Danio rerio: one gene and its partner. The protein of the gene in region 1 interacts with the protein of each later gene in a pairwise test. Links are inferred from orthologs where the notes say so. Each region holds a gene or a part of one and is shown on either strand. Other genes may lie near its edges.

Region 1 (3,657 bases):
TGTTAGAAAAGACATCCAACTAGGGCTGTGAGATTTGGGGAAAATATATAATTTATTTATATATTTATATATATTTTTTGTCAGATATTGTGATTTTGATTAGATTTGTGATTTAATTTTGTTGTCAAGCTTCAGCTCAATAATCTGTATCATAGTTTCTTACTGCTAAAATGCAGTGTTCATCAAAAAAAGGAACTGAAAAGATATTAACTTACTTAAATATTTATTCCAATTTTTTTTTCAAGTATTCAGAAAGAGTAAGCTGTAAACACGAATAAAATAACCTTATCGTTCTATAAACAAGTTGAACTTAAATTAGGGAGATAGTATAGCTTATTATACACTGTCAAGCGATAAGTGTCACTGGCATTACTTTCAGTTGACTTTTCAGCAAGACACTCCTCATATCACCTCAAAGCCTGTGGTGCTTTTTTAGTTGCTGGTTGTTGTATTTCCTCGTGCTGTGGCAACAATTCTATGACAGCTCCTACAAATGACCTGTTTTTGTTTGGTGTCTGTGACTTTAAAATCTAAATATTTCCATATTACCGATGTCCTGTTTTTGTTTGATATTCGTCTATTAAAGCTTCTGAAGCGGCAAACACCATCATTCCACTTGTCCGCATTTTTTGTCTGCATTTGTTTTTTTGTTTTTTTTATTGTGGTTGCTCCGCACTTCTGATTGGGTAGAACGAAAGTGTGCTCACTCAATTGGCTAGTAAGACTATGACACACTGATGGCAGCAGTCACGCATTTTCTCTGGGAGGGAGAAATGAAATAATATACATATATATTTCATATCACAGCCTCTAGTGATTAGCTAATTGCAGCGTTTCAAATTGTGATTTGATTTCAATTAATCGCACAGCCCTACATCCAACGTATGTGGTCAATTGTTTGGTCTCCGTTGCACTTACAAATTATTTACACACCACTTACTTTTGAATAATGGAAGGAGTGAGAATAAGAAAATAAAGAGCAGTTTATATGGCATTAAATTGGGTTTGTAAGTGACATAAACTTGTGTCACAAAGTGAAAAAAGCGTTCTATTCTGACTGACACACTCCTAAAGCAAATGTTCAGGAAGCCACTTTGTAGACAGCGTACACTCATGAGTTAGATATGCATATGATGTTAAATATAAGCTGTGGAAAAAAGCTCACCCGCTGACATACTAAACTTGAAGCAAATGCACAGAAAACCACACCTTGTACACATGCAATTGCAAGTCAAGATATTGTGTGTGTGTGTGTGTGTGTGCGTGTGTGTGTGCGTGCGTGTGTGTGTGTGTGTGCGTGTGTGTGTGTGTGCGTGTGCGTGTTTGTGTGCGTGTGCGTGTGTGTGTGTGTGTGTGTGTGAAAAAATCTTATTTTTGTGTGTCTAATTTATATTTTTATATGGTGAAATTAATATATGATTGTCAAATGCCCATCACATAAATTATCACATAAAAATGTCTCAAATTTATTGGATCTGTGCATTTGGCCGCAAAATCACAGTATATAATAAGCTTGTCTGTGTTAATAATGTTAATCAAATACTGTAATAGAAGACAAAACAGAAGACTAAGGGAAGATCAGACTTTGCGTTTGCATTTTTATTAAAAATTAGGTCATAATTAGTGTTTTTACTAGGAATGCTCTGATCAGAATTTTTTGCAGCTGATAAAGAGTAGCAATTCCTTGTTATGGATGAACGGCCGATACACTTACATTTAAACGTTTATTATAATAAGTTGTATAAAAAATTATCGAGTTAAAAATAATTAGTTTTTTTATTTTTTCTAATATTTCCAGCTAACTTTTAATGAACTTGCAATATTGTTCAAAACACTGTACTTTCAGTTCTTGTATGTAAAAAGATTTAACGTCTAATATGTCCTCTGCTTGTAAACTCATAAACCAACACTTTTGATCGGTTCATGAGATCGGCCAGATTACCAATCACGTAATGAAATGTAAATATCGGTCGATACCAATCTCTTGCTGATTGATCGGAGCATCCCTATTTATTACACATTTATTTTTACATTTCGTTTATTTGCTGTAGGAAATTCTAAAATGTCAAACCTACTGCTGCTGAAAAAAACCCTGTTCATTTACTTGATGTCTTTTTGTTTTAGTTTATATGTCACATTGTTATTTTCTTAGTACCAACAATCTGAGACAATTAGCACAATACATAACCATAAAATAAAATTTTACAGAACATGAAATTACATTTTGGGTCTTAACAGTTTTTCAAAACACCATTTAACACTGACTTCAACATTCCTTTCAGAGAAAACCATTCTAAAGCCTACATTCACCTCATCAGAAACAGCTTTCAGTTGGCAATAGCTGATGCAACTGTTGGTTTGGCAAATGTTCATGAGCGTATTGTTTGTTTAGCGTCGATGTGCCAGCCTGTTTCTAAGGCTGTGTCCGGTCTGCTGAGCTTGTTTGCTTCTGCAGTGCTGAAGTGCTGTAATCTAAGCCTGTGAGTCTCAGCTTCAATGAAGAAGGGCTTTGTCAAGGTCAGTGGAGTGGTTCTACCCAGCACATGCATGAGAAGACTTCACTTATGCTCCTTTTTATTTACACGATGCCCTCATTGGCCTCTCCACATACATTCGATACGAACACGCCATTGTCTTCTTCTCGTCGAAGTGTTGCATTTCATCTCTGCAAGAGCAGTGGACCACCCCTGCACGAACAGTAGGAGTCTATCTATGTAGTGCTGATTCCCCATCCTGCAAAGAAGCCTCATGGGATACTGGCGGAGAGGAGATGACATCATGTGAAATAAAAGCCCAGCTGTGGGGCGTTGCAATTTGGTGGTGACCTTTTAGATCTGCGTGTCACAGTGAGAGAGAGTAAAGTGACGGGACTAGCTGTCACTTGACCCTGCAGCTCGATCCTTCGAGATAAACACACACTCTTTCTTTCTCGGTCTTTCCTGATCTCTAACATGCACCTGCGTTTAATTCAGTAGCAGAGAAATTTGAAATCGAAAGCAGCTTGGCTTTCTGCTATGATCGGCTGAGGGATTTTGTGGTGTTATCATGAAATCAGGTTTGTTGTAAAATCATAGAAAAACACAGCTAATTGTATTCATTGGTATTAGTTTCTCACTGTGTTTGAGACCAGTGTAATCACTGTGTATGTTCTTTTCTCTGTGTAGACTTGTTTCTGGACTGGAAGCAGAATGCATACGAGGTGATAGTGAGGCTGAACTGTGGAGGTGCTGGGGTGCTGAGAGTAGAAGATATCGAGTATGACTTTTCAAATTCCGCCTGCCACATCCGGCTGCCAGGTAAGGGCATTGTGTGTTTGGGTCCCTCTTTTTTGGCTTTATCATTAATCAAATGTTTGGACCAGATTTAAATAGAATAAATAAAGGGATATTTCACCTAAGACTGAAAATTCTGTCTTAATTTACTCACCCTTTACTTGTTTCAAACCTGTTTGACTTTTTTTTTTTAGTAAACACAACTATTGACATCCATAGTTTTTTTCCCCTTGCTATAGAAGGCAGTATCTGCAGGTTTTTAGCTTTCTTCAAAATATCTTTTGTAGTTTTCAACTGAAAAAAGAAACCCGTAATCGGGTTGGGCGATGTTGACCAATTTGGCATCGTACGGTGTCTAATGTGAAACATCGCGATGGACGATGCC
Region 2 (3,757 bases), on another chromosome or scaffold:
TTGTGTTTAATTGATCAATTATTTATAATTTCTGTTCTTCAAAGAATCCTGGAAAGTAAAATGAAACTTGGTTTCTACAAAAACATAAAGCAGAAAGGATGCGTTCAACATTTAGCATAATGAAAACTATTATTATTGACTGAGCATGAACATTAATTGTAAATAAGCTTTATAAAAATAAGTGGAGTAACAGTGCTTAAAAATCTTTAATTCACTAAAATACCTCTTTAAAATTAAATAATATTTACTGTTTTTTTGCATTTCTAAACGAATAACACCTCATACTACCTCTGTAGTTACCTCATGCTACCTCCTTAATATTAAGACAGTGTCACTTTATCATATATCATATTTTTGCACTATATACTGTTTTGCATCTGCACAACTCCTGGTTTGCACTCCTTATCATGTGCCCTTAATTGAATTGTTTACAAATCTTAATTTTCACGTATATCTTTACATTATTTTATATGTGTAACATTAATTGTATTTATTGTAATTTCTATTTTAAAATGTAACTTTTTGTATCAATAATATCTGTTAGTCACCTAGGGTCTGAGAGTAACACAATTTTCAATGTATGTCCTGTAAGGGCAGCATAGTGGCGTAGTGTGTAGCACCGCAAGATGGTCGGTGGTTCGAGCCCCGGCTGGGTCAGTTGGCGTTTCCATGTGGAGTTTGTGTGGGTTTCCTGCGGGTGCTCCGTTTCCCCCACAAGTCCAAAGACATGTGGAATAGGTGACTTGTCCGTGGTGTATGTGTGTGAATGGATGTTTCCAGTGATGGGTTGCAGCTGGAAAGGCATTTGCTGCATAAAACATATGCTGGATAAGCTGATGGATAAGCTGGCGGTTCATTCCCCTGTGGGACTAAGCGAATGAACGAATGTATGTCCTGCACATGTGCTTGAATTGACAATAAAGTTGACTTTGACTTGCAGCCTCTGTGATGAGAAGATACTTCTTTCATTAACAACGAAAATGTTTCCAGAATGTTCACTGGTTCTGTTATTGATTCTTTCTCATTGTTTCTTTCCAACACGACAGTCTACTGATTACATAAAGCAGTGAAACATCGTGTGAAAGAACCACCGCGCAAATGTTTGCTGTTTACTTCACTACAGCCACTCACGCAATTACTACATATTCCGGCAACTCTTACATAAACCGCAGGAGCTACTCTCTGATTGGCTGAGGAGAGTGTCAATCAAACTTCCTTCACCCAATAGTCTCATTACTCGCTCTCAAACTATGGCGGCCATGTTGTATCCGCGGGGGATTGGAGGAGGCTACTCGGAACCGAGTCCGTGTTCAGTCGGGAGTGGACGGTGAGGCTCTCGGGCTTCAGCTACTCGGGGTTTTACACCATCAAACATCGACCGACACTCCTCGCCATGAGCCGTCCGTCCTCTGCGGGTGGAGCGGCCGGAGGACTCGGAGCTGGAAAAGCAGGAGGAAGTAAGCATGGAGGTTCTGGAGGAACAACTGCCTCTGCTGCCGCCGCCGCCGCTGCTGCCGCGGCCGCCGCAGCAGCTGCAGCCGCCGCGGGGGTGTCCGGCTCCGTCGCGGGTTCTGGTACGGTTCCCGCAGCAGCTGTAGCGCTTCCAGTCGCGGCTCTTCCGGGACAGTCCCCCGAGCTGACAGCGCTGTTTGAGTGCCCGGTGTGTTTCGACTATGTGCTGCCGCCGATCCTGCAGTGCCAGGCTGGGCATCTGGTGTGTAACCAGTGTCGGCAAAAGCTCAGCTGCTGCCCGACCTGTCGCGGCCCTCTCACGCCGAGCATACGGAACTTGGCAATGGAAAAAGTTGCATCTACTCTGCCGTTTCCGTGTAAGGTAAGAATTGCGCGTTCACGACTGTCATAATAACCAATGCAAAGTCGCCTGCAGTATTGTTTCAGTCAGCACTGCATGATGGCACGCATGAGTTTAGGAAGTGTAACTAAAACTCGAGATGCCACAGGTGCATTGGCTATCATATCAGATCAGTGTTTTTGTTTATGCTGCTGAAGTGTGTTTTTTCATTGGTTGAATATTATAGTCGGTCACTTAGGTAGTTAAATTGAGTTTTTAGTTGGATGAAATAACCGAAATTGAGAGACTTTAGTAATTTAGTGGCTTCAATATTGCTTCAACCAATGGCATCAGTTAGGAGGCGGGGCTTTGACTGTATCCAACCAATGGCTGGCTAAGGAGGCGTTGTGTATCGGGGAGACCTGTTTGAGAACAAACATTTTGTAATTTAGATGGTTGATGTTGAGGGCACATGTCTAAAAATTGAGACTGACATGGCTTAATCATGAAAACTAGTCCAATTTTATGATACTTTTGTTTTTTTATTTTATTTTTATGTTATTAATTATACTATAAAAAACTTTTGATCTACTTGAAGTGCTGTATATTGTAGATATCAGTCCATTTAATATAATGCAAGCTAAATTGACTGTCAAAGTTGAATTAAGGACAGCAACTACATTTTCTCTCAGTTGACTTGTCGTATTAGTAAATACTATTTGTTAGAAATGGCTATGCAATTTATCACACATATTTAAACCTTTTAAATCTTTTTATCCATTTTCTTAATTTTGTGAATCAAATTATTTTTGTTTTCGAGTTTGTTGTTACTTCCTTAATTATTTTATAATAGAATGCTGAACTTACCACATGTTGTGTGACAGTTGATGTGTAATAATAATCATGCTTAAAATAAAAATACAGAAAGCTTGATTTAATTGCATAAACTCAAACTCGTTTGTGCATTAATGCAATCACATATGAAATAATTTTTCTTTGTCACACTAACATCTCAATTTCAAGTAATACTTTTCTTTTGTGATTTATTCAGTCTATTGGCTAAATTGCAAATTACGCTGGATCACAAGTGGCTTTTTTACTGAATTTTCACCAAATCTCTGCAGTTGTTTAGTATGAAACTGACACGGACAGTTCACCCGAAAATGAAAATTCTGCCATCATTTACTCAGTTTGAGTTTTGTTGTTCTGTTGAACACAAAAGAAGATATTTTGAAGACTGTTGTAAATCATTGACTTCCATAATATCACATTTTCCTTCTATGAATTTCAATGGTTACTAGTTTCCAAAAGTTATCAACAGAAGAACAAAAAACAGGTTTGGAAGTCAAGGGTCATTAAATGATAGCAGAATTTTTTGTTTTTTTGGGTTGCACTATCCCTTGAATTAACCTCATTCATTCACAATTACACATCTAATTCTGAATCTAGAAATCTGACAAGAAACAAACATGACTTGATTTTCGAAATCTCACATTTTAGCAGCCCAGTTACTGAAACCATTGATTTGGTTCAGATGTTAGAAATCTTGTTTAGTATACCCACTACCAGAATAACTTTTTGTTGAATCTGAATTCACCCTAGATTAGTTCTAGCTCTCCACAGTTTTGAAAGTTTTCTTTTTATTGTGATTGACCTGAAACCCTTTTATTGCATCATCAGTGCATTAAAGTTGTATCCTCTGTTATCGCTGGCCTGTGAAAGTTGATCACTACTCTTGTTCCCTGGGCTAATGTTTCCTCCTTACAGTGGCTGTAATCAGGACGTGGCGACTGGTACTTGATGTAGAGCAGTTTCTAAAGTGATACCAGCCGTCAGCGAAGGAAAGTAGCCTTCAACGTTTGTGGTGAAAGTAAAGCTGCATCTGCTGCTTGTTTTTAAAAGGGCTTTGTCTGTTCTTCAATGGTCAGCTATAGCAGCATTAAAATGTATGTGTGTTTGTGGATG

Evidence for each region. The genes of interacting proteins can lie anywhere in the genome.
Region 2: the proteins of usp19 (region 1) and siah2l interact in a two-hybrid assay, tested with the Homo sapiens proteins (2 studies listed by BioGRID). The link is inferred for Danio rerio from reciprocal best matches to the Homo sapiens genes USP19 and SIAH2.

The regions. Positions count from the first base shown.
Region 1 is NC_133198.1:23,074,976-23,078,632, reverse strand, and holds part of usp19 (ubiquitin carboxyl-terminal hydrolase 19), read left to right. Parts: intron 1-3,164; coding exon 3,165-3,296; intron 3,297-3,657. UniProt on the Homo sapiens protein: Deubiquitinating enzyme that regulates the degradation of various proteins by removing ubiquitin moieties, thereby preventing their proteasomal degradation. Stabilizes RNF123, which promotes CDKN1B degradation and contributes to cell proliferation.
Region 2 is NC_133196.1:42,020,531-42,024,287, reverse strand, and holds the start of siah2l (E3 ubiquitin-protein ligase Siah2), read left to right. Parts: upstream 1-1,248; 5' UTR 1,249-1,393; coding exon 1,394-1,834; exon of another isoform or gene 1,835-1,836; intron 1,837-3,757. UniProt on the Homo sapiens protein: E3 ubiquitin-protein ligase that mediates ubiquitination and subsequent proteasomal degradation of target proteins.